Linked DNA regions of Oreochromis niloticus. Each later gene encodes a partner of the first gene's protein in a complex. Links are inferred from orthologs where the notes say so. Each region holds a gene or a part of one and is shown on either strand. Other genes may lie near its edges.

What was found.
Region 2: mediator of RNA polymerase II transcription subunit 13-like (region 1) and med21 share a complex: the UniProt entries of both Homo sapiens proteins name them as parts of the mediator complex. The link is inferred for Oreochromis niloticus from reciprocal best matches to the Homo sapiens genes MED13 and MED21.
Region 3: mediator of RNA polymerase II transcription subunit 13-like (region 1) and med31 share a complex: the UniProt entries of both Homo sapiens proteins name them as parts of the mediator complex. The link is inferred for Oreochromis niloticus from reciprocal best matches to the Homo sapiens genes MED13 and MED31.
Region 4: the proteins of mediator of RNA polymerase II transcription subunit 13-like (region 1) and ccnc are in contact, whole or in part, in a cryo-EM structure (PDB 8TQC), measured with the Homo sapiens proteins. The link is inferred for Oreochromis niloticus from reciprocal best matches to the Homo sapiens genes MED13 and CCNC. Residues at the interface, in NP_005112.2 of Homo sapiens: Tyr1342, Ser1630, His1631, Val1732, Lys1733, Thr1734, Thr1736, Phe1738, Gly1739, Pro1740, Gly1741, Ala1743, Arg1897, Met1898, Ile1901, Asp1905; in NP_005181.2 of Homo sapiens: Gln7, Gln13, Trp14, Leu16, Gln19, Lys23, Gln26, Lys27, Arg75, Tyr76, Glu144, Leu145, Asp147, Cys148, Ser221.

The regions. Positions count from the first base shown.
Region 1 is NC_031979.2:25,760,567-25,768,990, reverse strand, and holds the start of mediator of RNA polymerase II transcription subunit 13-like, read right to left. Parts: upstream 3,076-8,424; 5' UTR 2,272-3,075; coding exon 2,206-2,271; intron 1,337-2,205; coding exon 1,102-1,336; intron 62-1,101; coding exon 1-61. Other genes in the region: c18h3orf33 (protein C3orf33 homolog), read left to right, coding at 4,182-4,382, 4,659-4,718, 4,863-5,022, 5,574-5,734, 5,818-6,075. UniProt on the Homo sapiens protein: Component of the Mediator complex, a coactivator involved in the regulated transcription of nearly all RNA polymerase II-dependent genes.
Region 2 is NC_031981.2:34,716,664-34,724,065, forward strand, and holds the start of med21 (mediator of RNA polymerase II transcription subunit 21), read left to right. Parts: upstream 1-3,943; 5' UTR 3,944-3,999; coding exon 4,000-4,083; intron 4,084-6,043; coding exon 6,044-6,158; intron 6,159-7,402. Other genes in the region: fgfr1op2 (FGFR1 oncogene partner 2 homolog), read right to left, coding at 328-465, 1,815-1,928, 2,013-2,155, 2,295-2,412, 2,591-2,727, 3,708-3,732. UniProt on the Homo sapiens protein: Component of the Mediator complex, a coactivator involved in the regulated transcription of nearly all RNA polymerase II-dependent genes.
Region 3 is NC_031975.2:31,352,639-31,359,819, forward strand, and holds med31 (mediator of RNA polymerase II transcription subunit 31), read right to left. Parts: upstream 2,593-7,181; 5' UTR 2,412-2,592; coding exon 2,402-2,411; intron 1,611-2,401; coding exon 1,536-1,610; intron 1,454-1,535; coding exon 1,357-1,453; intron 1,243-1,356; coding exon 1,026-1,242; 3' UTR 561-1,025; downstream 1-560. Other genes in the region: slc13a5a (solute carrier family 13 member 5a), read right to left, coding at 5,519-5,647, 5,744-5,881, 6,167-6,328, 7,045-7,166. UniProt on the Homo sapiens protein: Component of the Mediator complex, a coactivator involved in the regulated transcription of nearly all RNA polymerase II-dependent genes.
Region 4 is NC_031980.2:6,952,282-6,960,657, forward strand, and holds the start of ccnc (cyclin-C), read left to right. Parts: upstream 1-4,939; 5' UTR 4,940-5,163; coding exon 5,164-5,224; intron 5,225-5,907; coding exon 5,908-6,088; intron 6,089-8,376. Other genes in the region: pgm3 (phosphoacetylglucosamine mutase), read left to right, coding at 9-204, 287-444, 549-632, 720-818, 943-1,062, 1,147-1,269, 1,512-1,685, 1,809-1,898. UniProt on the Homo sapiens protein: Component of the Mediator complex, a coactivator involved in regulated gene transcription of nearly all RNA polymerase II-dependent genes.

The DNA.
Region 1 (8,424 bases):
TTGAACAGGAGAGTTCGACACTCATAGGATAGGCCACTTTCCCACTCACCATCCTCCTCACCTGAAACAAGGCAGATGCAAACATGATGACTTTAACAATCAAAGCTTTTTTTCCTGATAAAGCTAACCAGTGTTAAATGTACTTGGTTTTGTCATACATGCGTAGCCTTAATTTGGCTGTGCAAAAAACAAGAAGACCACAGTTACACCTGCTCTACCGCGTATAAATACAGGAAAACATTTAATATTAATAAAAGTCTTAGTTGCTGTTATGTAATGACGTGATCCAAAATAAAAGGCTTCAACCCAGTTACTGACTTATGTAACAGAAAATAAACTATTTTGTTAAATTACAGAGAAATTATTAGATTAGGTGAAGCTTACTCATGCCATTCCTCTCTGATCATCAAGAGCTATACTCCCTGCATAGTGGAAAATTCAAATTTCCAACTATCTTTGGAGCTCAAGAGAGATTTGAAAAATTGTTGCCAACTCTGTCTCTTTAATGAGCAATTTCTGCAAGTAACACTTCACCCCACCTGGGACAAAATACCTGTGTGTTAGCCCCTAAGGGTACTTTTTCTCTAAGAATATGAATATGAATATCAACAAAGCAGGATTGAATCTCCAGAAATCCAGAGGTGTGTCAGGTGACTATGATGCACAACAACTTGTTCTAATCCTACCATGCAAGTCTGTGTCTCTGTGGCCGTGGGCCAATCAATTCCACAAGGCTTTAAAGACATTCAAAGACCAGTTAGCCACAAATTCAAGGGCCTTAGAAATTATTTTTAATCAGACTTTGCATCATCAAAAATGTGTAAGAAAAATATTTGATACAGTAAGCATTTCAGGACAGCATCTCTAGGAAGTATGTTATTAATATCAACAATTACACACTTCAATTTAAAATTGTTCAGATGGCACAAACTGAACTAAGTGCTGTGAAAGCACAAGAGTCCACATATAATTTGGGGTAAATCACCAAATAATATTGGAATTTAATTCAGTGAAGTGAAATAAACATTTTCATCTAATAAACTCTGATGCTGTCAGAATCACAAATCTTGCAGTATTCGTGGAGAGGTTAAATGCACTTACTTAAGAGCTCATTGTGGATAAGCTCTGCAAAACTGGGGTCATCACCCCACCAGAAAAGCCAGAGCTCTCTGCGACCCGGGGTGTGGTGCCTCCTCCAAACACTCAACACATCTGCCGCCAAGCATCGGCTGAAACTGCACAAGATTGGGTCCTCCTCAGTCACAGGGAAAAGGATAGGCGAGGAGGTGGGTCCTTGCCACACAAAACGCCGCCATTTTATTCCAGTCAAATCAGCCTTAAAGAGAAGAAGAATAGTGATGTGAGAATGTGAGAATGAACACAGAGACACAGAGAATAACTGCAAAGCATAAAGCCATTTTCCAGTTGTTTACTGCACAACTCTTCATGCATCTTGACCTAACACACTGCAGTAACAAGACAGCCTTTGCTGCTAAAATTACTTTCAATTCAATTAATTTTATTTTATTTATATAGTGCAAAATCACAACAACAGTTGCCTTAGGTGCTTTATATTGTAAAGGTATAGATCCTACAATTATATTGAGAAAACAGAAAAAGGAAACTTTGAATAAGCAAAGCTGAAAATTGAGGTTTGTTTACACTGTTGAAAGTTTTCCTGTACTCTTTACACTTGCCAAGATGATCACGCCTGAAGCCATAACACCCAACTATAAGGAAATAATTTACAACCAGCAAGTTAACAACCAATGACAGACCTGTCAGTTTAAAACCAGACTGGTCTGTCTCAAAATGGTTGGTGACAGCCACAATTAATTTGCATGCAGTGCAGTTTAAATCAAGGAAAAACAATATGTTCAGCTGGTTTTAGAGAAACTGCTCGTTTAGTTGTTCTTTTTACCACCATGTAAATAACGTTATTGCTAGCGGAATATTTTAGCACTCAGTGCAGTGTAAACACAAGATCGTGCCATATTTATCAACCAGCCTTCAAAATAGTTGTCATGCAGAATGTGCTGGCTCTGTTATGAAAGTTGGCTCAGATCACGATTTGTTAGTTGCAGGCCCGATGCCTTCACTCCAATCTGCAACTGACGTTACAAGGCTTGTTGCCTTATTAGCCAAAATGGCTTTCTGGCCTCTCAGGATCGCTAACGCTCGCTAGCTCACAGAACAGAGTCTTACCAGGCAGAAGAGGTTGGAGTGGCAGTCCTCCAAACTGGCCCCGTTTGGTACAAAGCACGAACTCATCCTTTCACTGCGTAGTTGTAACGTTAAAATCCATGTTCTCAATCACCTTCGGGGGGCAATAGCCGATCTGGGTAACTCGCTTGCGAAGCTATGTTCAGCTCTAATTATCCCGTTAAAGCGCTGCCAACTTGCTAGCTTCAGCTAGCTGACGCTAGCCAAACAGTCAACTTCTAACCGGCGCTAGCCACCACCACTAGCCTGGCAGCTAAGCTAACGTTAGACAGACAGCCAGAACGCGTCAACTGTAAGCTTCTCGCTATACGATTCATCAATCCTATTTGAAATGTATTGTCTGATCTGGTTAGCCGCAAGCTTGCGGCTACATCACCTCAACATTAAATAATCATCGATAACAAATCGAAGAAAGACTAGCGTTAAATACACCACCGGAAAAAGTTAAATGCGCAATAAAAATACGAGCTCAAAAACTTAAAAGAAAAACTTAGATGCTGGTATGCTAATGCTAATGGCAGCTAGCTGCTCTGAAACAATTTCAAAGCGGAGGAACTCGCCCCTCCTCCCCCTGAGCTAGCCTAGCCTGCTAACACATTCGCTAACATACCAGAGCTCCAGCGTTAGCTCGCCAGCTAAATAAAACAACCCGCTACGCCGCCCTCCTTTTCACCAAAACCACCATGGTGCTCCGTCATATTAAAACTACCCTTAAAACGAATGAAACACCCCAAACTAGCGTGACTACTCATCAGCTACTCTTCTCTGCCTGCTCCATAGGTCCTGCAGATTTCCATTATTTCAGTTCATGTATTGAATTCTTTAATGGCGGCCAGGAGGACAACTCTGCCTCTTAGCTCCTATTGGCCAATTTGTGGTAATGGGGGCGTGATCCAGCTTCAAGTAGCTCCATGACTTCACAGTTTACAAGATGAAAGCTCCAGTGCATCTGTCATGCAGTGGTCACTCCTCAGTGATGCCTGTTAACGTGCATGTTTCACTGTGCAACATCTGCTGCATGGACAGTTATGGGAAATATTTGGTGAATTATTGTTGGTGGTGGGAACATGTGTGTTTGTTTGCATTGTTATGTAAAGGTAAAAAAAAACAAAACCAACTGACTTATTCTATTGTCTTCTGGGGGCGTTTGCTTTGTGCATTGAATAATAATAACTAGATGACACGAAGTCATCTAGTTATTATTATTTTTATAATTATTACTGAAATTCTTTCAGGAATACAGTGGTGCAAATAAAGAACCAACATTTGCATGAAACACAAACACTGATCAGGCTACATACATATAGTTGACAAATTAATATGTATATATGGGGAAAATGAACAATAAAGAAAAAAACACATTCAGTACTGAGATTTTATTTAAGTGCATTTTTGAAATTTACTTTGAAATTAATATAAACAAACTTTTTCATGCATTGCAACAACCCTTAAGAAGCAAACTCAGTTCAATCAAATAAAACCCCTTTGTTCTAGATGAATCTGCAAATATGTTACTGCAGTTTAAATTTGTGTGCATTTCAGAACAGGTGGATTGCACCTGATAGAAAAGGCATTAATCACGAGTTAAATCTTTATACTTTTTAAATCTAACAACAACAACAAAAACAGACATAAACAAATAAATTCAAGGGAAGATTTTAAATAATGAAGAAATCTAGGTCAAACTGTGTAGACAAAGATGGATACGTCACTGATCCCAGCGGTGTTCAATAATGTGAACCTCAGCTGCATTTTTGCATGGACAACTTTTTCTCTACCCCCTCCTCAACGTTATTGCAGCGCTAAGTAAACAGCTTCGCCATCCACCGGGCTGGTTATTTTGGTGCTTTTTATGTCACACGGGCTGTGAACTTGATGCTTTCACACGCATTGGACGTGCACACCTTCCTGTCATTTCCACAGCAGACCACAGGGCGGAGCCTCCGCACGAGCCTTCAATGGTGAAACTTCCCTCCCCCGAGTGGGCGGGGCTTCGGATGCTTCGAGAAAATGTCAACAACATGCCGCAGACTTCCAGAGAAACAGAAAGTGAGGAGGAAATGAGGGACAGACAACAAAGAAAGGAAGAAACCCCGGTGTCTCATAACATCGTGACTTTACTATCTCAGTTCGCAGATGATAATTTAACGCTCGTGCGGGTAGGAGTCTCCTTTGTTTGAAAGCTGGGATGCATAGACAGCATGGTTACTTGACTGTCAGCCTGCATCTGCTTTTAATCTTTCACTTGGTGGTACCCTATATGTTGAAAGGAAGGACTGTGGTCTCATGCAAAAGCCTTCATGGCGCTGACCAGATGTCCTTTCTCTAGTTGTCCCCAGCAGAGTATAGTGCTCATGTGCATTATCAGTGACCAGCACTTTAGCCTGGTTGGCAACATCACTCTCATCCCTTTACTTTTCCCTTGTCTCCCACAGAATATAAGCACTGGACTGGCCATTGCTGGTGTAATTGTCATAGCAAGGAGTATCAAACTGGTAAGGGAGAAAGACCCTCAAATGTTCAAAATGTTGTGTGCTATCTCAATTCGCTCTATCAAATCGACATCCTACTACATAGGATGTCATTTTTTCTGTGTTTTTCTAGAATGAGTCATTCACTTGTCTGTTCCACCTCTGTAGATCACAAAATTTCAAGCTGCGTGTGACATCCCCACACGTTTTATTGAGAGGAACGTCAGCCTTCGTGGGAAAGTCCATTCCATCACAGAGAAAGGATTTAAAGTGGAGCACGTCCCAATTTATCTGCCTGTTATCTCTCCATTACTTTCAAAGTATAAGGGTAATACAGGAGAGAGAAGATCATGAAAGCATGTGCACTATCACACTAGAAATACACGGTCTATACTATTCAGAGCCACTAATCTATGGCTTAGCAGCGTAATTATTTCATCTTTTTGCACCATAATATAATTGTGGCGTTTTTACTTTGCAAAGTCGGATATATTTTATTAAACTGCCATGACTGAAAGTGGCAGGTAAGCCTGTTAGCTGCTATATCAAGTCATAGTAGTCACTGAGCAATGAAATCATAAGGTGCAGCATCAGCTACTTCACCGAGGACACAGATAACACGTTTGCCCCACCTGACTCAACATTTCAAACCTGATCAGTCATTTAGTATAGAGAGGGTTCAATTTGTCTTTGCATCTAACAACAATTTTTTTTCTTTATTATTAAATGTAAAATGCAACATTTCAGTAGTGACACCACTAAACTGTTACATTATGCTTACACTACTAAAAAAATACAGTTTCAGGCCTTGCTCAAAATTCATATTCTAAACAGAATACATAAAATGTCAGGTAAATGCTTTGTCTTTCTTCTTTTCAGATGTGTCTACATCCCTGCTGCTGGTCCATCTTGCAGGAGTGGAGCTGACACCACAGGGGAAACTATGGCTGGAGAAGAACGTGGCCCCTTCCCAAATGGTGTGGTTGAAGCTTATCAGCCGAGAGGACGACATATTGCATTGTTTGGTGTCTCAAAGCAGGGTAAGAGAAACCTTATGTGGAAAATTGAGTAATTAATTTCAAGTTATAAAGTGATATTTCCCTGTCTTCTCGCATCTCTCCAGAAGGGGTCATTGAGGAGCTACTGTATGAACGAAGAGGTACTCAGGCTCGGACTGGCTCGCACTGCCCCCGTAGCTGGTGTCCTCCCTGACTCGCGCCTCTACTGGCGTCTCCACAGACGACTGCACAGGGCAGAGGTGAAAGCTGAGAGGAAGGGTCGGGGTATGTGGAAGGAGGACACCCTGTGGGAGAGAACTTCCAAAGCTATCAGGGACAACGCTGTATTCAGACTGTTGAAGAGGATCTTTAAAAGAACCTGATGCACCAAGTGAGCGATGATTTCCAAGTCAGAATCACAAAAAAGTTTGTTGGAAGTGTGGAAGTGGAAGCCAAAAATGTGATATTTTACATTCCCTTTATTGTGCACTTAGGATTTCTTTAAGTCTTTGATCTGCTTTATTTTCTCTAATACTTAAAAAAAATTCCCAAGAAGTACATTTATACATCAAATCCTTAGTGCACCTGTTGCAAACGATTGAAACGTGTTTTACTGTGTTTCTCAGTCATAAAAAGCTTGAAATTCTTAAAAAGGTTGTTGAACGCTCTTCTTCAATCCCTGAGCTTTCATTACCAATTAAACTAGAGCTAGACACAGCCTCGCCTATTGGTGTGTGTGTGTCTGTATGTGTGTGTGTGTGTGGGAAACCCCACTAAACTCAAGACGGGGGTGGGGTATTTAATGGTGTTCAAAATAAAGGGGGGTCCACTTGTCCACAGTTGCTATAGAAACACCAAATGTGAAATACAAAGCGACTCCAAGGCTAAACTCTATATTGGTGGCCCCCAAACCCCATGGGAGCCTTATATATTGAGTGTGTGTGTGTGAGGGGGCTTTTAAGTACCTATAAAGAGGGCCCTTTTAGTTGTAATGTGACCAGTACATTTAAGCACTAAGCACAGTGGGAAATGGGAGATCAAATCTGTTTGTTTCAGAACGCTACATGCTGTTATTGCAGGCATGATTGAAAAATCTCATGAGTGATATTTATCTGCAAACGTTATTCTAATCAGCATACATTGACACCTGCACCAAAGCTAATTTCCTGTTGAGGATCATGCTCCTGTTATTGCTTTTTCTTTGCCAACATTACACCTTGTGCCTGTGGCTGTTACTCATGCTTCATCTGAGCAAGGCAGATGAGGAGGAGGAGGAGGTCCTGCAAAAATGAGGCCAGTCAGCGATGCGTCCTGAGGGGTGCGGGGTGGGGGAGTCACAGTGTAGCGAGAGGTGAAGCAGTCAATCCAGTGGGGCACAAGGAGATTAGTGCAGAGGAGGAGGAGGAGGAGGAGGGTCACTGGGGTAGAAGGGGATTTTGAGTTTGAACACAAAGGCAGAAGAGGAGGAGTCACAGTAGTAGGGAAAGGGAGTGAAGGCGGGGGATGATGAATCAGATTTCTCTTTTGTTGTGCAAATGTTACTAGCCACTGTTACTGCCTAAGAGGCTGGTGATTGGTGGGCTGGTTTAAATTGTAAGGTGCATTTCAGGCTGATGGCTGTTGCTGCTAGACTTTGAACTGTCACTGAGGGAGGAGTGGGAGGGAAACCACGGCTGTGACAGACAGCAGGAGGAGGGCAACGTTTCTAAAGCGACTGATCACAGAGAGAGTGTGCCGTTTAATCAGGATGTTTAAATGTTTTAGTTAGCTGTTGGTGTAACTTCCTCTTGTATCTCAATTAAATAATAGTAATTTGATATTTTTGGAGATAGCTGAGCAGTACTGATATATAGTAAATAGTTAATAATTAGTTTACATTTGTCCAAAGGTAACCTTGATTTAGAAGAGCCTGTTTCTTATACACTACCAGAAACATTGATGACTGTTACAGTGACAAGTATACTACAGTTAACATTTTGTGCAGATAAAGAAAAATAGAAATGGATATGTCATAGTGGAGAAAGTATCAGTAAAGACGCCAGCTTACGGAACCTTATGCCTTTAAATGTTGAAGTATTTAAAAAGCCTGTTGTGTCTTTTTAGTTTTAACTTAAGTAAACTGAAATCTGAATAAATTATGAAACACAATCCAGTCCGAAATCCATTCCAGGCTTTCCCCAGTTCACTAGTCCCACACCAGTAGTAGTCATTTGAAAAGGCACCATGCTTGATCTAGTGGTGGGTTCTTACCCACACAGTGAAGTTGTTGGAGTCTTCCCTTCCTGAAACCAGACCACTGGGACTATAACAGTGCACTAGTGCCTAATGCTATGGATGTCCAGAGCCTGAAGGACTGCTGTATTACTACCAGTGAAAGTGGCAAGATTTTGTGAAGAAGGACAACTTAACTTCAAAATCAGAAACTGGACTAAAAGACGTAAGTGGGCTGATGGATTCTTTCTTTCTTAAATAAATACGGCAAGACAGCAACTCATTAAGTGTTACTAACTTAAAAGGCTTTCTTTCCAACTGTGCACTTTAAGACTAAAACAATCTGCACTCAGTCTGCTGTCACTTTAAATGTACTGTTGTTAGGACATTGTATGCAGTATCCAAGCAGCTGTGCACCTGTTAAACCTGTGTGTCTACCTGGACACAAGCTCTATAAAACCAAAACTCAAGACATTTCCAACCTTATCTTTATTGTCCTGCTCCAGGTAAGACAGAGTCAG
Region 2 (7,402 bases), on another chromosome or scaffold:
TCTTGTTTACAGATTTATTTGAACTCAAGCCCTTCGTTTACTCATTTACACCTTAAAATGTTGCAGGCACTGCGGGCTCGTGCATGCTGCCAAAATGAACAAAATGTTACAGCAGTACCAAGAAACAAGAAAAAGAACAAAGGGAGGGGGGGTGGCTCGCTGCTTGTTGCCCGAATCATCAGACAGGGATGCAGGTCTGGAGCAGCGATGTTCTAAATGCACCAGGAGACTCAACATCTGAAGCGGTCACGTGGTAACAGGCTGTAGACTCTGTACCCTACAGCGGCAGCAGTAAGGGGCTGGGGGTTTGGTGGGCCGTCCTGGGCTTTAACTTTTTCGTAAGCTCACGTCGGCACTAGTGAGCAGTGGCGACAGCGACGTGCTGTCTGATTGGTCGTCTCTCTTCAGAACCAGAAAAGCTTCCCGACTGATTCCCAGCAGCTCTCGGAGTCCATTGTTCTCCAGCTGAAATACACGGAGACAATGTAAATGCTGTGTTTAATGCAAACAAAAACAGAATGATTTGCAAATCCCATAAACCCAAATTTTATTGAGCACAGAGATTTCTCCAAATTCTCAGAATCCTTTGAATTTATCAAGCTGAAGATAATTAGATATTCAAAGTCTTCAGAATTATATGTTGACAAATGTTATTCTGAAATTGTTCCACAAGTTGCAGATGCAATTTTTTGCAGATTGATGAACCTCAGCACATCTTTACTTCTGAGAAACTCTGCCTCTTTAAAATGCCTTTTTATACCCAATCATGTTGAGTATTAATCTTTATGCCAGTTAACCGAAAATATTCCTTTTTGTTTACCCCATCCCAACTTTTTTTTTTTTATTTTTTTTTTTTTATTGCTAGTATTAAGTTCCAAATGAGCTACTGTTTTTCTTAAAATGCTACTTATTCACTACTGTGAATAAAATATGGGTTTATGAGGTTTTAATCACTTACAGTACATGTTACAGAGTGGAAATTTGATTTTTCTTTTGTGTTTCCAAGCATGTTAATATGAAGGGCCAAAAGTATCACAGTAGTAATCAGAGTTTCTGCCTGGGCATTTCAAGGATCGGGGGACTATTTTAAATCAAAAAATATAAAGCAAACAGTTACAGTAGGACGACTCTTTGGAAACAGTTAAGAGTTCAAAAGCTCACTGTTGACATCTGGTGGTTAACATGTGGAAACACTACTAATGGTTCTTACTGTCAAAAGCTAAAGCCACCTAGCAATGCTAGTTCGCTAAATAGTAACATAAATCTAACTTTTATGGGATTTATGGATAATTTCAAGTAGTAGAGGTAAAGGTCAAAAAGCCTACAAATATATCTGTTTAACCTAATGAAAATAGAGAGGTAGGATGTCTAAATGACAAAGTAGGTCAAAGGAAAAAAATAAAGCTTGGAGGAAATGTAAATAAAAAGGCTAATTTTTAATTTAAATGCCCTGTTAAGATCTGCTTTGACATCTCAACTCAACATGAAGCTTTAGTTCATTTTTAAACTCCAAACTCACACTGAATATACTGTTAAAATAAATAAATAAATAAATAACGGAGCACATGAACATTTTTAACTATGACTTGTGATCCAGTTTTGACTCCACCCCTCAGAGCCTTGATCATTTAGGTTTCCACTGATGACTTTTATTGGCCTTTGTGTCAAGTGTCAATTTCTTTGACACTTGTGATCCTCGGTGTCACATGAACAGACATTTGTTTGGGTTGATTTGTAACTTCTGTGGATTTTTTGTACCCTCCCCTGGTCTGAAAGCTTTGGAACAATTGGAAGTAATGCTGCTCGGCTTTTACCTCTAGCTGTTTAATCCTCTCCTCATCTTCACATATTCGCTCCTCATCCACCTCTATGGCTTTCCTCATCACGGAGGCCATTTCGTTGATCTTGTCTATGTGTGCTTGCATTTCCTGCAAAGATTTTTTTTAATGCACAAGAAAAGTTAAAAAAAAAAGCAAAATAATACATTAAAAGTACTTGCACCAGATACTGACCGTAGTGTGCTGCTCCTTCAGCTGGGTAACGATGGCGGGGTCGTCCCTCTTACTGGCCATGAGAAGTCTGAACACCTGCTCCCTGTATTTGGTCATGATGAGCTCTAAGGCAGACTGATGTTCTTCCAATGATGTACGCAGCTCTACATGAAGTATGAACAAGTTTGATTTACGGGAAGGATCAAATTCCGGCTTTATATTCCACAAATCAAAGCAAAACTAAAAATGCACCGGCCATCCGATCTCTCAACAGAAGAGTTGACATTAAAGGAAACTGCCTACCTTTGTTTTCCTGCTGGAGCTCCCTAATTTGACGGTTTTCCTGCTGGATTCCCAGGACTAGACTGGAACGAGGCCGATGCCGTGCAACCTCGTTCAGGGCGTCTATCTCCTCCTGGTACTATCAATAAAAAGAACAAGCAGAAAAACCTTCAGTCTAAAATATAAAATGATAGATCATCATAACAATTAAAAAATACTTTTTAAAAAGTGTTATTCCAGCTTTTGAAATAAACTTCATGGATTCTACATCAAATGCTTTAGGCCTCACATTTCCCCAAGTTCATGTGACACCCTACCTGTTTCATGGCCTCTACTCGCTTGTTGAGATGTGTCGTCTGTTCGATTAACATCTCAGCAGCGTTGTCATGGTTGCGAAGCCTTTCCACTAATGATTTGGCATCTGCCAGGACCTTCTCTAATGTACAGTTCATGCCTGAGGAAATACAAGTGATTCTTAAGAGGAGCTAGGACAAGGTTGCTTGCAAACATAGTAGTCATCCACCTCGTCAATCCTTCTTTTCTTCCCTTAAGTATTACATTTGGTTAAAGCAATTATCCATTAGCAAGCTATTCATTATAGTGATGACTGACACTATTGAATTATATCTTATTAAAATAGCTTCTTTATTTAAAGGTAGGCTGACTTTGTATCTGTACATACAGCAGCTGCAGTCAAGTGAAAGTTTTCTGGGAACTCTGAACAGTCCTAAAAAAACCTATGTATATACCATGATGCAGTGGCTTTTTGCAAGCTATTGCTGCTGTTAAGCAGCAATATGTTACAGCAGCCTTTTTCTATAAAAGTTGTCTTTTTCTATATGATAATCACTTTAATATGTTTTAAACACGACTTAAATCAGAAATGCTTGATCTAGATCTATTTTGCTTGATCAAACAACAACACCACGATATTGGTATTATATAATTTTAAAAATATCTGAAAACCAAGAAGTAACCTCAACTGAAGCGTCAGCTCTGACTTCAAAATACCAGCTAAAAATCATTCATTGACATTGTGTCTAGGCTTTCTCCTCCTCGACCTACTCGTCATTACAGCTGCTGTGTCAGCTAATTCGCTTATTACGAGCAAGCCTTGCGTGTTTTAGGCGTCAGATTCACTTTACATAATTACTTCTGAAGCACATTCGTCTCAGCTATATAAAACGTGAAGGGAATTAGTTTCTCAGTTTTCCAAATTCAGTAAGCTGACAACGTAAAATATATTTTAACAACACATACATACATACATACATACACACACAAGCTGGGCTCACTTATTAGCCAACTTACTAATCAGAGTTAAGCTTTCATGCAAATCCACTTACATGCTCGCATTATAAACGGGTGCGTATATCAAATCGGTGTTGCCATGCAATTTTAGATAATGAATTAAAGAAACAAAAATGATCATACCTGGGGAAGCCACAGTACAAGACATTGGAATTGCGTTAACTCCGCTGCTACTTCCTGTTGATGTTTAGTAGCTAATATTAGCTAAAGGCTAACATTAGTCCTCATAAAGCAGCCACAAACAGGGTCTAATAAAGATCCGTTCCTCGTTAAAATAGAAGATAACCTCCGCTGATATGAAAATATCGATTTTTAACGCGTTTCAAGTTTGCTGTGAACCCAGTTGTGAGACGGTAAAAGTAAGTAACCCAACCTTTGCCAACCAAGGTTCCCAAAATACCGAATATACCGCGAGATGTTTTATGTTCTCGCGACAGTTACGTCAGAAACAGACAATATGGCGGACCGGCTAACACAACTTCAAGACGCAGTCAATTCGGTAAGGCAAATGTTGAATATCTTAAACGTTCTTTGGTAGAAGGAGGTGTAAAAAAATATATAAAATGCATCGTCATGTCGATTAGAGTTGGTAGCTAACGCAAACCAGTGGCTCGAGTAGTTTAGTAACATGTGAACAACACGGGGTAGCTAACCATTATAGCAAGTATAGTTAAAGGCCTGTGTTACGAAACGACCAAACCAGCTCAGTTATTTTAAACAACGAAGTGTTACAGTGTTAAAACGTCGTTTTGGCTAGCTTCCTTGAACAAAATAATACAAAATAAATATATTTGGAAAAGAAAAATACTAAACTAACGTGGGAAAGTAACCCCAGAGGGTCAACATTTGATATTCAGAAGTATTTAACATGCAAAAGTAATTTCTCTATATTTGGCTTGCAAGGGACCAAATTTTCTTATTTATTTCAGTGGTCTTGAACAGAAGTTGAACTTAAAGGAATTACGAATGGAGAAAAGTAGGTCAGATTTTGATCCTTCATGTTGTACCAGCTTGCTAGAATATTGCAAAGTCTGTTTTTGCCTTACATACTGTATTTCCACATATTTTTTCCCATTTCAATAAAGTGCTGCACCTATTTGTCATTTTCCAAAACAAACAAACAAACATAATAATAATAATTATTTAAGGGTGGTTCTAGACCAGGGATGTCATTCTCCTTTTGCTTGGTGGCCTACATACAACACACTATGCACTTTGGGCCAATCAGTGAAACTACCCTTTCTGTCACTTACAGTCAGAACTTTAACTACACATTTAATCCCTGAGACATTGTAATATAGTTTTTCTACACAATAAAGAAAAGTTTGTCAGTGTGACTTGTTGGGCTTAAATTGTAGGAAATAAATGTGTAAAATTGGAGATGCTTGTCCATGCCTTCATCTCCTCTCGTTTAGATTACTGTAACGCACTCTTTTCTTGTCTGTCTAAGGCTTCCCTAAATCGCCTCCAAGTGGTCCAAAATGCCGCAGCAAGGCTTTTATCCCACAGTCATAAATTCTCCCATATCACCCCTGTGTTAAAATCCTTGCACTGGCTTCCGGTTGAGTATAGATATCAGTTTAAAATCCTCACTTTTACATTCATGTGCCTACAAGTGAGGCCCCCACTTATATCACTAAGCTTCTCCAAACCGGATCCTTAGATCCACTGATAGTGGTCTTCTAACCATTCCATGGACCCGTTTGAAAACGAAGGGGGATTGCGCTTTTCAAGCCTTGGCTCTAATATTATGGAACAGTTTACCTCACCCGCTACGCACCATCAACTCTGTAGCTACTTTTAACAGCTCAAAACACATCTGTTTAGACAGGCATTTAGGTAATATTCATGTGTAGCAAACTGTTTTACTGGATATGCTACTATACCCTATTTATAGTGTTTTATTGTATCGATTGATATGCTTTTATTCCCATGTGAAGCACTTTGAAAAAACTTCCTGTTTTAAAAAGCGCTATATAAATACATTTTACTTACTTACTAAAATAACAGAAAAAGTTCTTTTGGCTTGTTGTGTAGACTGTCCTGTAATAATATATTTTGTAATGTGACCCCATTGTAAAAAGCACAGATTTCTATAGTAGATAGTTTAAAAAATGAACTTTCTCTCATTTCATTATTTGGGGGAGGTTTTATCTTCAGGAGAAGCTGTAAAACTTATGAAAATACAGTTAAAAGTCCAAAACTTAAGCATGCCTTCACATTTTTACAGTGGGTAAAATTGGATTCTGGTCTCCGGGCCTTATGGTTGACACTGGTAAACTAAATATCTATATTTTATAATAATAATAATTTTAAAAAAAAAAACATACTTTGGTAAAACTGATGAAAGAAATGTCTTTAAATTTCTTTTGTCTGAAGTTTATGTTATCAGCAGCAGCAGCTAGTGTCTTGTTCAAATAACAGCGTAACCTATTACTGGTTTTGTTTTGTGTGTCCAGCTTGCTGATCAGTTTTGTAATGCTATCGGCGTTCTGCAACAATGTGCACCTCCTGCATCCTTCAGTAACATCCAGACAGCTATCAACAAGGATCAACCAGCAAACCCAACAGAAGGTTTGTGTGTTTTTACTATGACATTATTTTTAACCATCGTTTTTATGTCACTTTATATCAGCTGATAAATATAAGGTGCCCCACCGGGAGACTCTGTTGTCCTGCTGGGAGACTTCAATGCTCACGTGGGTAACAACAGCGAGACCTGGAGGGGCGTGATTGGGAGGAACGGCCTCCCTGATCTGAATCCGAGCGGTGTTTTGTTATTGGACTTCTGTGCAAATCACAGTTTGGCCATAACGAACACCTTGTTCGAACATAAGAGTGTCCATAAGTGCACGTGGCACCAGGATGCTCTAGGCCGCAGGTCGATGATCGATTTTGTAATCGTATCACCAGACCTGCGACCATATGTTCTGGACACTCGGGTAAAGAGAGGGGCTGAGCTGTCAACTGATCACCACCTGGTGGTGAGTTGGATCAGGTGGCGGGGGAGGACGCTGGACAGACCCGGTGCACCTAAACGCGTAGTGAGGGTGTGCTGGGAACGTCTAGCAGAGGCCCCAGTCCGCGAGATCTTCAACGCACACCTCCGGCAGAGCTTCAACAGCATTCCGAGGGAGACTGGGGACATTGAGTCCGAATGGACCATGTTCAGCGTCTCCATCGCCGAAGCTGCTGCATTGAGCTGCGGCCGCAAGGTAGTTGGTGCCTGCCGTGGTGGTAATCCCCGAACCAAATGGTGGACACCAGAGGTGAAGGGAGCCACCAAGCTGAAGAAGGAGTCCTATCGGGCTTGGTTAGCCTGTGGGACTCCGGAGGCAGCCGACAGGTATCGACAGGCCAAGCGGAATGCGGCTCGGGCAGTGGCTGAAGCAAAAACTCGGGTGTGGGAGGAGTTCGGAGAGGCCATGGAAAAAGACTTTCGGACTGCCTCGAAGAGATTCTGGCAAACCGTCAGGCGTCTCAGGAGGGGAAAGCGGTGCTCTACCTGCACTGTGTATAGTGCTGGCGGAGCGCTGCTGGCGTCGACTGAGAAAATTGTCAGGCGGTGGAAGGAATACTTTGAGGACCTCCTTAATCCCATTGACACGTCTTCCGAGGAGGAAGCAGAGTCTGGGGATGAGGGAAGTGACCCGCCAATTTCCGGGGGCGAGGTCACTGAGGTAGTTAAACAACTCCTTGGTGGCAGAGCCCCTGGTGTTGATGAGGTCCGCCCCGAGTTCCTGAAGGCTCTGGATGTTGTAGGGCTGTCCTGGTTGACACGCCTCTGCAATGTTGCGTGGAGATCAGGGGCAGTACCC
Region 3 (7,181 bases), on another chromosome or scaffold:
CATAAACAGAGCTCTTAAACTTTTACAGGTGTGCTGAGAGCAGCAGGTAACAACACACCCAATAAACAGAGGGTCCAGGAGGGCTCTCTCTCTTTGTCTGTTGTGTCGTTGTCTGTCGCTTGTGCTCAAGGCTCTGCAGCCTGGGGATGCTTTGCTTTGTCTTGTTGCTCTGCTCTTTTCCACAGGATCTGTTTTTAATAGTTCAATTTTTAAATTGGATCTAAAAATAGAAGGATTGCGTTTCCTTTTAAAATGTACATCATGAGCCACCCTCACTGAATCACTGTTTAATGCTCTGCTGTAGAAGTGATGATGGAGTGAACCTTTGCTCTGACAGAAAAAAGAAAAGCAAAGAAAATCCGATTTATTTTATTTTACTGGCCGTGATAGAATTCTCTTTGTGATGAAGCGAGATCTTCTTCATGTGACCTGCATCAGACCACCTCCTCTAAGAGTCTCCTCCCACCTTTCCTTCACATCAGGATATTTCAGGTCAAGGAAAAGAGGTTAGGAAAAGGATGTAGGAGGTCATTGTTGTTATTGAGCTGACTAACACAAAGGAAGCCTGCATAACTTTATTGGTTTCATCAACACGCAAACAGAAACAAACTCTTCACATTTCAAACATTTTATTAGAACAAAGGATGAAAAAAAGGTCCAACCACACCCCTCTCCCTCAACTGGACACTCAGGTGATCGCCGCAGGTAAAAACATGCCCCATCAGGCAGGAGCTCACTCTGCAGCTGGTAGGACCTGACTGAGCAGCAGCACTTTAAATTATAACCTCTGCTGTCTTATCTGTTTCGGTCTCTTCCTGCTGAGACCATTGGACTGACAAGTTCCAGGAAATAGCCACATCCATAAATCCAGGAGAAATTTTAACTTGAAAATTGCAACAGGAAGGTCAAAGCTGATGCTTCCCATCAGCTGATCAGCTCCCACCTCAGTTCCTCCCCTGCAGTCTTTAATGTTCATGTGAATGGAGAAATAACCTTGGCATCCCAGCAGCGCTCCAACTCCGTCGTCACTTTGCGGCGGCGTTGCCGTGCGGCGGGGCCGTCTGCGGCTGCGCTTGCGTCTGCTCGGCGAGTGCCTGCTGCAGCCGCATGCGTTTGCGTGAGTAGTGCTGCCAGTGCAGCAGCTGCTGTTCGTCAATGAACTTGGCGCACTGAGCGTTCACCAGCTCCTTCCTGAAGTGCTCGTACTGCAGCAGCTCCAGCATGTGCAGGCAGTGGGGGTACCTGCAGTGGGCGGAGTCACAGAGCAGAGGTCAGCTGACAGAAGGTTGACAAACATCACAACTTTACTCTCACACAGAAAATTGTCTAAACCAAGAATCAAACATGTCGCCGTACTTGAGGAACTTGGCGTACTCGGGCTCCTTCCAGTACAGCAGGTACTTCAGGTAGTTGATGAAGGATCTGTCCCTCAGGATGCCTCTCTGAGCCAGAACTGGAAACACAAACACACAAAATCTCCGTCAAACTCTGGCAAACGTGAAGCTGCGAGAGTTTCTGATCACAGCATCACTCACAGTTCAGGTAGTTGGGATTCGCCAAACACTGGACGAACTCAAGCTCCAACTGGAAACGGTTCCTGGCCTGCTCCTCTGCACCGGGAAGCACACGAGTTAATCAGTAACACGACATTCAAACCCAACAACACCGATTATCTTGAGATCATCAGGAGCACACGTGTTTAATTACAGTAATAATGTCCCAAAGGATTCAATTCACACTACACACACGCCAACATAACACAGCCATGAGAAAGCATGTTTTTATACCAGACTCCATTAGAAAAAATAGCAATTTAAAGACACATTGTTTTAATCCACCCTGAAAACTTTAAACAGGCAGTTTGGAAATTAAATTTAATGTAACGGTGAATTATTGAGAGCCGAATTAAAGCGCGAGTCTCAGAGTACAGTCTTCAGAGTCCATTCCCGGTTATCTTCAAACACACTCACTTAAGCTGATAAATCAAGTTTGTTCTTAATCTGAATAATTTCTTGCGACGTAGTGAACAGGACAGAAAAGACCGACACTTTGCAGCCTGACTTAAAGCTAATCATGAGTATACCAACGTATTTAACAACACATTGAACCACATTTAAAAACAACCAAACCTTTGCTCCCTTTAACTCCCTTAAATAAAACCAGTAATCCCAGCGCCGCCAGACTCCATTAAAAAAGTGACAATTTAACGCCGCTTTGTCGGTTTGGGAAAAGCCTCGTTGTCAAAGTAGAAAAACAAGATAGAGCACATCTAAATACCATCAGCTGCTCACAGACAGGCTTTTAAAGCCAACAAAGTAAAACTTACGGATTTATTGGTGTTTTGTCTTGCAGGAAATATTAGCCTAGCAGATTAGCATTGATCAAACAATCTGCTACAAACCTGTTTCCATGGCTACAGCCTGAAGGCACCAGTAAGTAGATGAAGGACTTAAATGTCAGATAAACTGTCTAAAAATGTTTAAAAGGCAAAAATAAGAAAAGAAAGCCGGGTTTTGCTCTTTTCAGGTTTAATCGCTGCTATCAAACGTGTGCAGACTAAATGACGTAAAACTTCCGCCGTCTTCGCGACATCTACGTCGCTTTACGCCGCCTGCTGTTCGTTGTTTGGCCGCCAGAGGGAGGCAACAGACGACAAGAAAAAAGCTCCTTCAAACTACCACAAATAACTTGATTACACTTATGTAATAATAATAATAATTTATGTGAGCGCAATATTCACAGGATAACTAATAATAATAATAATAATAATAATAATAATAATAATAATAATAATAATAGTAACAATTTTTTCATGCACAGAAAAGCACTGAAGATGTACTTACTATACTGATCAGGGTGCAGTCAGATGATGAGAAAACCAACTAATGTGCTAATACTGTGACTGTGATCATGTACTATTTCAGGTCACAGGTGACCTCTGTTCTATACAATCCTTCAAAACATTTTGCTACTTATACACAAAACTAAGAACCTTTCTTTTTAGATTTTGTATTAGTATAAAAAACAAAGCACAGCTTTCTTCAGTTTGAACACATATTGGCTGTATATGTCTTTGTCAGTGTAAAGGTTCTCTCCTGTTTACCCTCTAAAATATGTTGGATGTTGTCCTTGTGTAAACCGTCACACGCAGAGTCTAATTTTCACCCCTGCAGAATCTCCAGGTTTGGTGCTCAAAGATATATAAAAGTCTGCTGGAAGTTTGCAGAAAGTTACCCGAATGCTTTTCACCCCTGCAGAATCTCCAGGTTTGGTGCTCAAAGATATATAAAAGTCTGCTGGAAGTTTGCAGAAAGTTACCCGAATGCTTATCAGACCGTCAGCACCAAAATCTTCCAGTCTGATGAAACCAAAGTTCAAATATTGTGACACAACACACAGTGATATGAGTGGAAGAATACAGGCACCGACTGCAGGGATGTGGGGATGTTGTATTTTAACATAGAGCGAAAAACAAACGCAGAGCAGGATCATTCAGTAGGACAATACCCCAAAGCACATCATCATGAACACAGGAAGGCTTGGACTGGCCCAGCCAGAGACTGGACATGAACCTGATAAAGCATCTATGTAGAGAGCTGCACCTGGCAGTCACTCAATCTCTGCAGCCAACATAGCTGAGCTGAGAGGTTCTGCCAAAACCAATAAGAGTGACAACAAGAGTGACAACAAGAGTGACAACAAGAGTGACGTCCTAGACTAGACCCTGTCACTGCTTTCAAAGCAAGTGCAGAGTGAAAAGCATGCCCACTAATATTGGACACTGCTAATTTAATGTTTAGTGGACATTTGAAGTGGCAAAAGAATCATTTAATTATCTAAGTAAATCATTTTGTCCAAATCACATTTTTCCTCCCCCAGATAAAAGTTGCAGCTAAAAGTTTGACCACTGGGGGGCAGAGTTTCACCTGGATGTGTGTTGTTTTAATTTAAAATTCTTCTTTTTAGTCTTATCCTCAATGTCAGTGTCCTGCTCTTCAGCCACATCGATGCACTGCACCATTTTTTGGTACAAACGGCATGAAAGTGCAGCCTGGCATCAGCTGAACTTCAGCTGATATCACTTCAATATAAAACTTAGATGTTTTTGACATAAAATCCAAGCTTCTGTTTGTTTCTGTTCAAACTTTAGTTCACTTTGGAAGATGTTCGTTTAAAAAAACCCAGCAGAATTTACAAAAAGTGCATTTAAAGATCGATCTTTATTAATATGAAATAAAACTGTTAACAAGATGGTACAAAACATCACATATGTACAGAACACACTCATCAGCTCGCATAAAAACTGTGTTATTATGTTTAAATATAAACCATATAAAATGTGAAGCATATTTACTAATTACGCTAAAATAATTCCAGTTCACAGGGAAAATAGTGGTTTCTTCATTGGGAATTTTCCCAGTCAGTAAAGTTTTGCTGCAGCTCTTCTAGAGTCAGTCCTCCAAATAAAAAACACAGAACAGCGAAATAATCACAAAGAAAAAAACTTCACAGCAATCAGGAAGAAAATTATAATACAGTATCCTCTGCAGAAGAAACAATCTCATTAACATAAACTGAAACAGAGCCCTGTGGCACACCTGCTAACAAGCAGTTTCACACATTTATGATGAGCAGATAAATATCAGGAGCAGCAGTTTTTCTTATTTTACTTCAAACAAAAAGAACAATTTTATATGACATTGTTATTACAGACAACACTTTATTAAGTGTTTTATAATCATCTTGTTTAGGTCCTGTTTTCACCCTCTGTTAAACTTTCTCCGTGTTTCCATGGTTTACTCACAATGTGCTTTCATCCTTCATCCTTCTCAGCTTCTTCATCTTTTTTGATGCCTTTAAAAAAATAATATTACACTCCTGACAGTACAGCTTTCTGAAGATGTTTCAAATTAAAAGCCTGTGATGTTTTTTTTAATTTCAGGTTTCTTTCAGCTGTTAAATGTTCATCAATGTCATTCAATAGTTCTTTTTTTTATAATTAAAGGGGCAACAAGAATTTGAATGTTTGTAGTTAGAGTCCACAGTCCAGCTCATTTTAAGAATCCATTTAAAACTTGTGGACTTGGAATTGTGCATGAAGCTGTTGTTGTTTGGCACTAAGATTGCTTTAAAGACACTATGAACAAATACTAAAACCTGCACTCTATGTTAAACTGTAACCTCAGTTTGTGTGTATTTATTTAACACCATCATGTACAAACATATAAAGGTAGATCTAGTTTTTCAATCCACCAAAGGTAACGTAGACTATATTCCTTGTATGTGGGAGTCCATTAATTGCCATTAATGCTACTCTGTAGACAGTTTACTAGAACGTGCACATGCACAATGACACAAACAACAAAATCAAGATGATGTTTCTGGTGGCTCAGAAAGTGCTGCAGCACGAATATAAAAAACAAACTCCTTGCAGGGAAATGCCCAGATGCTGGAGCTGAAAGATCAAACCTGAAAAAGTTTTTATGTGCATAAATAAAGATGTGGGAGGATGTTGCTCCTATACGGGTGCAGTGACGTTGGCCCATGAGGGGAAAGTGTCCAGAGAAAACAGGACCCGACCCCAGCTGTTGATGGCCAGACTGATGCAGCCGATGCCGATGATGTTCATCACCACACCTGTTTTAGCCTGTAGGGGGCACAGTGGCAGAGGAAGAGGAGGCTATGATGACAGAATGAATCAGAATGATTATTTCTTTCCAACTGGAAGAAATGAAGAACTCACCATGTCGGACACTTTGAGGAAACCGGAGGAAAACACAATGGCATTAGGTGGGGTGGCCACCGGCAGCATGAAGGCGAAGGAGGCGCTGAGGGTGCAGGGGATCATCACGTACAGAGGGTTCAAGCTGATGGACTGGGACTGGGTCAGGAAAAGGACAACAGAGTCATCAACTTTACCGATAAACTGGCTTCAATGGCTTTTTTTCCTGTTACATTTCAACACTTCCTGTTCAGATGTATCATAATAAACGTCTGTCAGTGGCTCAAAGGGTGAAGCTCCTTCTGTTCTCTGTCACCTTATGATATGAAACATCTGTAGGAAGTGCAGCAGCTTGTACTTCTACTGTATGCTGATGATAATGAACTGTTACATCACACTATGCATATGTACAAATACAGTCTGTGTTGCCTGTGTTTTTGGTACCATGGAAGCCAGGATGGGCAGGAAGAGAGTTGCTGTTGCAACGTTGCTTGCACATTCAGTGAAGGTGGCAACGAGCAGGCAGAGGATGATGGCGATGGCCCACGGAGGGACTGAGTGGAGCGGCGTCATCTGATCACCGAGCCAACGTGACAAACCAGACTCCTGAAAAACCGACAAGAAAAAGCAGGACTTCAGTCTGAGTCTGAAAGCAAAGGTTTCTCTTTACTATTAATGAAAACTCGATCTGGTGTCTTTACTTTTCCATATTATATAAGATTTACTTAATCTCATTAAACCATCTGCACTGTGCCCATACAGAGCAGAAGAGTCGTTTCGTTTTCATTTACTCACAAAGTCTTAGTTGTGTTATTCTCTTGGCTATCAAAGTGTATTTTTAGTTTATTCCTTCTACAAATATCAAAACTAAGGTTGCATAAAAGAATTTAACAGAAGGCCGCCACAGATCTAACCTGTAAATGTCTTTGAACTGTAACTAAAAATCAAGGCTGACGTAATAAAAGAAACCTCGTGGTGGACTTGGTATCTAGTGATTTGTCATCTTGGTCCTCATTTATTCTTTTTATTAGTGCTGTCAGCGTTAATCTCGTTAAAATGATGTTAACGCCATAACCGCATTAACGCGCCAAATCTCTGTTAGCGAGTTAACGCGGATCGCCCGTGCGAGGGGCTGTACGTTGTTAAGGTGTTAACGAGCTAGCCACAATGACGTGTTGACGCCGTGCAGCCTTTGCACGGGGCGATCCGCGTTAACTTGCTAACAGAGATTTGGCGCGTTAATGCGGTTATGGCGTTAACATCATTTTAACGAGATTAACGCTGACAGATCTACTTTTTATAAATAAAATCAAAGGTTTTACCTCACTGCCTTTGGCCAAAGCAAAGCCGCCTCCCAGCAGCAGGACGATATTCCAGGGCATCTTCTTCTGAGTCACCTGCCAGGTGAGCAGAGAAGGGGCGGGGCCTTGAGAGACCCGAGACTCTGATTGGATCAAAC
Region 4 (8,376 bases), on another chromosome or scaffold:
ACCATTAGACGTCCAACCGTACGGATGACCAGAAGCACCTCTGCCTGGATGGCGCTAATGGCATCGGGGCTCTGAAGGTACGTGAGATGGAGAGTCACCTGAAGAAAGAGCTACAGATTTCTCTTAATAATGATGGCAGCAAAGGAAGGCTGAACCACCAGTGTGGAGCCGACTATGTGAAGGTGCAGCAAAAACCCCCAACAGGTGCGCATAGGGCCATTTAATTTACTTGAATGTACTGTAATATTTTTAATATGCGAGACCTGTCTTGCATTCTCACATGAAGGCATTAAGATTAACCCAGGAGAGCGATGCTGTTCCTTTGATGGCGATGCCGACCGAATAGTTTATTACTACACGGACTCTGAAGGAACATTTCACCTGCTGGATGGAGACAAGATGGCTACCCTCATCAGCACTTTCCTGAAAGAGCTGCTCACACAGGTATACTCTAAAAAAACCAAACAAACGAACATGAAAATGACATACAGGCACCCACTTACCAAGAATGGTTGTTCTTTGTATTTTTTCTCCCTTGGAATGCACAGGCTGGACTAGACTTGAAGATAGCAGTGGTGCAAACTGCGTACGCTAATGGAAGTTCAACACACTATCTGGAGAACACAATGAAGGTGACAAAAAATTCCACAGAGAGTTCAGGTGTTTTATTTTGTATTTATATGGAGAGGACAGTTCTCACAGATTTATTTGCCACTTAGGTCTTAGTGAGGTGTACAAAGACTGGAGTGAAGCATCTTCACCATGTAGCCCAGGAGTTTGATGTCGGTGTGTACTTTGAGGCCAATGGCCACGGAACAGTGAGTACACACATATGCACACATCTTTAAATGCACTGAAAATCACCTGTAAGGCTTACCTGTCTCGATTTTTCCAAAAATCAGAAGTAATGTGTCGTCCTGTGTTTGTTTGTGTTTGGATCAGGTGTTGTTCAGCAAGGCAGCTGAAGAGAAAATCCAGCAGCTGGCCGAGGACACAAACGTCAACGACAAGAGGAAGAAAGCAGCTCTCCTGCTGCGAAACACGATCAACGTCATCAACCAGGCACGCTCACACTGACATCCGTGTTGAACTGAGCTCATGCAGACACCGGAGCTCTGTTGTTAACGTCGATATTTTCTTTTAAAGACTGTAGGAGATGCCATTTCTGACATGCTGCTGATTGAAGCCATACTAGCCATCAAAGGGATGACTATCCAGCAGTGGGACACCATCTATACCGACCTGCCAAACAGGCAACTTAAAGTCAAGGTGCTCATATTGTATAGTTATGTATTATATCCAGGATATAAAGTGTGAGTGATAGAAAGAAATACAGCACTTTACATTTAATTTACAGCAGTGCCGACCCAAACTAAGGAGGCTTTTATTTTGTTAGATAAACATTTGTGTACTGTAACCCTGCACATAGTAGAGTGTCTGTGTCTACTTCAAGCCAGTTAGAGATAGTGGCTCCTGAGGGTGATCTTTTTTCTTTTTCTTTTTTTCTGTAGGTGGCGGACCGCAGGGTGATAGACACAACAGATGCAGAGAGGCGGGCGGTGACCCCAGCAGGCCTGCAGGAGGCCATCGACAATTTAGTAAAGAAGTACAGACAGGCTCGCTCCTTCGTGAGGCCCTCCGGCACCGAGGATGTGGTGAGAGTATACGCAGAGGCAGACACGCAGGTGAGAAATCTATTTTCCAAGCTTTCTCTGTTATTGATTCTCATGGCAGTGTTACTGAGGTTAAAAAATATCTGGAAGGGAATTGTTTTGTGAATAATACTCTGGCTCTCTGTGTTGTTTCAGGAGAGTGCTGACGCCCTGGCACACGAAGTCAGCCTTGCTGTGTATCGCCTTGCTGGAGGAGTTGGGGATGAACCCAAACCATTGCATTAGAAGCACAATCACACAAACACACCATATTGATCAATCAGAATTACAGAATTGCTGATCATTATTTTATTTTTATTTTTATTTTGTTGAAGTCAGGTGATACCAAATGATTTTATATTGTCTTTATTTTCCTTGTATTACTGTCACTCTGATGATGGGGTACACATTAGGGGAATTAATAAAGGTTGGGGGAGTTGTGTGTGTGTATACATAAAATTCAAACAGTCAAACAACTGGTTTTAAAGAGGGTTGTCATTTCACTTGGTCCCAGATATTTGTGAGCAGTTATTTTAAATAATTCCCTTCATTTTCATTAAATCATGTAAGTTTACATAACGACTGTTGAATCGGCTTTGCTGCTATTATTTGAATTAAATAATGGATAAAGAGGAGAGTGGGGGTTTTTTTAATTACAGTGAAGTAACACTGATAGAATTCTATGATTGAAATGAAAACCACAACTATGTTTGCAACATTCTGGATAATAAAACATGTATTTATAAGTTACACTTGTAACTTATAAATACATGCAGGTTATCACACATTTGATTTCCATGTGTGACAACTGTAAGTGTCCAGAGTCAGGACAGACTGAGGGACCCACTGCTGCAGATGATCTGTGAGACTGCACCCCTGATGATCCACCAGGACAAACTCAGCAGTGTCTGAAGAAGAGTCGGCACCAGCTGACAGACTGTTCCCTCTGTGTGAAGGACTAACAGAAAAGTTTAAAATAACTAATTATCTGTCCTGAATCAGTCTTATTAGGTAATGTTAAAATAATTTTATCATTCAAGTGTTTTCAAAGTGGGAGTAAGTACTCAGGACCTTCAAGTTAAACACTATGAAAGGCACTAACAAGTTTACTATTCAGAAACCTAAAGTATGTATCAGTAGCAGAATGTACCTAAAAATAAATGTCAGTTTTTTTCAGTTCTATGAAGCTTTGAGTATTTTGGATTAGTATTACTGCTGTGTTAGTTGCATCATATTGCTGTAATTGTTTATATACTTTATATATTTTGAGGTAAGTTGATCTATAGTGTTACATCATATTCTATGAGGATGCTATGTGTTTGTATACTTTCTGCCCAGTTTGACCCATTTACCAGAAGTCGGCCTGTTTAAGGCTCTGATATCTATTCTGTATCACTTAAAGCAGTTATGACATGGTATGATTTTCTCATCCTATGAAGGCACATTTAATATATCAGTGTACTCTTCATTTTATCAGAAACAGTTCTCACAGCTCGTACATTTTCTTTTCACACATATATGTAAACATTCAGACAAATTTAGTAATGCCAACATATTAAAAGAACAATATTTGTCTCTTATATATAATACTTGTACATATACATATAAATATTTATATATATATACTATTATATATACTATAAATATAAATAACTACAAATTGAATCTTTACTGAAGCTCAGTATTTGAAACAGAGTTTAAACTCACTGCTGTAATAACTAATAATGATTAATATAATAATAAATTTAATATTGGCCATATTATAGTAACATTACCAAAGTGAGATGACTTTAGTCTGATGAACAACATTAGCTAATTGTTATTTAATAGCTAATCTTAAAATTACTGTTCCGTACAGAAATGAAGCCCAACAATCATGTTTTTACAGTCCCGTTGTCTCAGCCTCAGATACTTATCAAATCAAACAAAGCTCATATAAAAACAAAGAGATGAACAAAAAAAAGTCTCCCTCATTTCTGTCAAACAATGCTGCATGAAGCGTTTTTATCATGGTTGTATCATGGTTGCTAGGCAACCTGAGCAGCGTCCCATTTCACAAGCCTTGCACTTCCGGCCTTCTTGGTCTTCGGAGGACCCGGCCCACGTGGACCGCGAAGGTCCGGTCCTCCGAAGGATGCAGCCCCTAAATTGGGACACAGCCTGTGTTCTCTGTGTCTTCCTTGTCATCCTTGTCTCTGCCTTTGTGTGTTTCCTGTTTTACTTTGAAAGTCTGTATCCAGTGTCAATGTACTGTGTTTTGCTTCCTCCCTGCCTCGTCATGTCTTATTAGGTTCAGCTGTGTCTCCCTCCTGTTGCGTATTTCCCTCTTTACTTGTGTGTATTTATGGTGTGTGTTTCCTTCTGTTCCTTGTCGGTCTGTTTTTGTGTGTCATTCCTTCATGTTGCCTTCGCGTTTCTCCTGCCTCCTGGTTTCCTGTTCCTTCCCTCTGCTCACCATGCTCAGGTTATTTTGTTATTCTTAGTTCTGTGACAATTTTATGTGAAATTATATCGCACTAAGAAAATAAGATGTGTTATGAGACATTTTCACTAAGTGAGACAAATTATTATGATGTGATCTACTAACAATGCTCTATGTATACAAAGATTCAGACTGTTTACTTCGGTGAAACCCACATTCAGCGCGAATTAGTGGTTTTAAGAGCACATATAGTAATGCCTGAATGGTTCAAACACACTAACAGTTATATTTGTTGCAAATTCAGCAGAGAGAAGTCACTCACTGTGCACTCAGAGCTGAGAAAATGAAGCTTATGAGTTCATTTCTGTTTAGTTTCATGAAAACGGTGTTAAGAAAGAGAGCAACTGCAAATTTTATTTTCAGTCATTTTATTTTTCTATTTGTTATGTGCATCATTGTACTTTTTTGCATCTGTATTTTCTTTAACTTTTCTGTAATAATTCTGATCTTAAAGTGGTTTAAATGAGTGTCTCTTTGTTGAGGGCAGCCTTTTGTCTCTCCAAAAGAGTCCTTCAAAGCTACTCTAGAGTCTAAGAACAAAACACAAAGCAGTTAATTTGGGATGAAGAAAAATAGACTACTATCAAATGGACTTGATATTATTTCTGAGCATTTAAGACAATCTTTCATGCCTTCTTCTCCTAGCAGTTGGGAAATATGAATTTTGTTAAAAATCTTTTTTTTTTTTCTTTTTTTTTTTTTGTGGCTTGTTGGTTTAGGGCCATGATTCTCACGTTGGGTGTGAGAGGTACTGGGTTCAAATCCCAGATGAGCCTGTGCGGTGTTTGGGGCTTTGCTGAACTGTTCATGCAAGTATGCATATATTGAAGTAAACTAACAGTGACACTAATAGAAACTAAATGAAAGCAATTCAAACAAAAACTAAGCTGAAATAAACGGTCACATTAGAAAGTAAGTTAAATTTAAAAAAGAAGAGAATGCTAAACTACAGTAACTCTGCAGTTACCCCACCCACTGTAGTAGAAGCTGACTTGTGTGAGTGGGGGCAAAGGAGGTGGCTGACTAAAGATGAGCAGCCTTAGGCTTAGTGTCGTGGAGGGCGAACGGATCCAATCCTCAGCATTACAAGGTAAGCAGATATCTAGGTGAAGTGTGAGTCCGACCATTGCTGGTTCTCCATGTTTTCCAGAGGAAGGGTCAACTCGAAGACTGAACTTCAGGAAACACAAGGAGGACTGCCAGGGAAACTGTGGTTACTTTTGCTGGATTAAATTACACGAAGGTTGGCTGAGTTACCGCTGTAGAGGAAAAATGTTCAGGCAGAGAACTTCTGCCACAGGTGCTCCTTAAATACCTGGTCTTGATGAAGGGAAATGACAAACCGTAGCAAGCCTGTGACCATCAGTCCTAACAAAAACGATACAAGATATCAAGTAATCTTGAGCCACAAACAACATTCCTATCGCAAGGAAGAAGCTGCAAAGTTTTTGGCACTTTTATAAATCCTTTGTAAACTAGATAAATAGTGTAATTGGCATTTAAGTCTTTTTAAGAGTAGTCTGGCCAAGACGATAGCAGAAATTACAACGCATATAACAATAGGTTTATAAAGATATTTAAAGTGCAGCAGCTTTTAGGCGCATTGGGGATGGTCATTTTTCACCAGATCATCTGCTCATCTATGGCGGTAAATCACATTTGTTACCTTGTTTTCTCCTGTGATTTCCCTGTGTAACTCTGTTATCATCTCCCTAGTAACAGCACCTTGGTTCATTCCTCTGTCTCCGTACTCACCTGATTTGTCTCCATTAGGTTATGTGTTCCATACACTGCTACCTCCACGTTCATACTTCATTCTCTCTACTCCTGCAAAAGAGAGAACCGGAACTCACTTGCCTGCTCTCCAGTTCTCTGCCATTGATTACTCAGCTCTGGAATATTCCTCTGTTGCCTGCAAACGGCCGACTCCCTCCTCTCCGTTGCTGCGAATCAAGTAAGGCAAACTCCGCTATCATATCACACAGTCCCCGCCTTAGGCTCCATTTCAGAAAATCCTGCACAGTGAAACTCCCCCTATGTTTCGTTGTTTCCTGCCAAACGATAAACCATTGGACCCTCTGGGGTCCAGTGTATAATTGGCCGGTTTTGGATTACTTTTGATTTTACCTCCGTGTGTGTGTTGCGTTTATCTGGCCTTGTCTGGTATCATTCTTTTTGGCACAACCTCACATGTCTGAATTTAAAGTGATTATTTTTCATTTTGACATAATGCATTAACACAATTAATCTGAGTTTTTATTTATTTATTTATTTATTTTTTAACAGTCAAAAACCACAAGCGGGTTTAACGACTCCTTTTCATAACTTTAGTTTATTTTAATTTAAACTTTAAAAACCTACAAACTGAAATGCAACGATTTACCTAAAAATGCAGCCAATGTCTCAGCTGTTTTTCATCACCATTTAAAACTGTTTACAGCATAATCAGGTGCTCTACATCAAAGGCACACAAATTACACAGGCCTGCAAAATAATGTTTGGTAAAGTCTGTGTGTGTTGTGTGGTTGTTTTTTTTTTTTTTTTTTTTTTAGGGTGCTCAATCCATCATGTACAGTTTATTTGTTTTTGTGTTTTTGTTTTTTTTTTTTGCACGAGGAGTTTACAAAAAGCACAACAGCGATGAAAGAAATATTTTATTACAATTACCTAGGCATAATTTTCCTAAGATTCCTTGCCTTTCATTATGAACAAAATAAACCTGGACATGAAACCGGACATGATCGTCTGAGCATTTTCTATTTGTATTTCTCTTCAGTCTTGCGTTTAGAAATATTAAATTCATGTAAGAAATCATCCTACTTTGACTCAAGTAGGATGCCAGATTTCAGCTTAAAAGGGGAAATTGTACAGTTAATTGCACTAAACATGACTTTTGCAAGACAACCTGACACGATGGAATTTTTAAAAATATTTTTTCCGGTTTCAGTGAGTAAAAGTCTATAAGAAACAGTCAAAATCGTGTGTGTGTGTGTGTGTGTGTGTGTGTGTGTGTGTGTGTGTGTGTGTGTTTTTCGGGGTTGCTTCACCATGTGCACTGCCTCCTCTTCAGAAGCAACAGATTTCAAACAGTCATCCACATAAAAGTTTCTTTTGACTGGATCAACCACTTCAGCTGGAAATTGCTGTGCATTCTCATCTGCAGTTCTCTGTAGAGCATAATTTGCACAGCTTGGTGAAGATGCTGTTCCAAACAAATGTACTTTCATCCTGTATTCCTGTGCAGGCCTTGTAGTGTCACCATATTGCCACCACAGGAAACGGAGCAACAGACTCTGGTCTAAATCTGATCAGAACTCCAACCAGTGAGTTTCTGAGATCAGGTCCCTGTAGAAGCTGACTGTTCAGTGATGCTCCTTTTTATAAGTTGTTCCAGTCAAATAAAACTCTCCTTGCCCTTTGGGATGATGCACTCCATGATGAGGAATGTACCACACCTTTTCATCACTTTTCTGCAACTCATCTGCAGGCACAAATTCAGCATATCCTTGTTTAAGCATTTTGTTTACACATGCAGTATATTCATCCTTACAGCAAGCATCCTTTTCAAATCTCAGTCTGAGACTCTGGGGATGCTACTTCGCCACACAGAGGTTATTTGGTAAGCTGGGACTTTCTCTTCTGAAAGGCAAATCAATGTGATAATAATTTCCAATAAGTTTTATTGAGCTACTAACAATATCCATGAAACACAGATCCCCCTCTTGATATTTCAGTCTGCTTCTCTGATCTTTCACTAAGTCATGGTTGTACTGTTTAATCAGCATTTCTTCTAGACTCTCAACAGAAATCCTATTGGCTGTTACAGCAGTGCAATTTTTATTTCCGCTGTTACTTCCAGTGTGCAGGGGACCATTTATGACCCAGCCAACTTTGGTTTTTACAGCATAAGGTCCACCTTCCACACTGTTTATCACCTTCCATGGCTCTAAAACGTTGGAAGCATCAGTGCCTATCAGTAGCTAGACACCTGCATCAATGTTGTGAAGTTTAATAGGTTTAAGATGAGGCCAATGATCAATATCCCCTTGCTGGAAAATATTCACCATAGAAACTGGCATGGTCTTTTGAGTCAAAACATCTGGCAACGCCATGAAATCATTTGCTTCCAGACCAGACAGAACTAGTGCACTAACAATCCCATTTTGACTCCTTGTTCTCAGAAGGATATTGGTCTTTTGACCCTTTAGATTAAGTCTTTTTGCCAGGAACTTCCAGGACCCA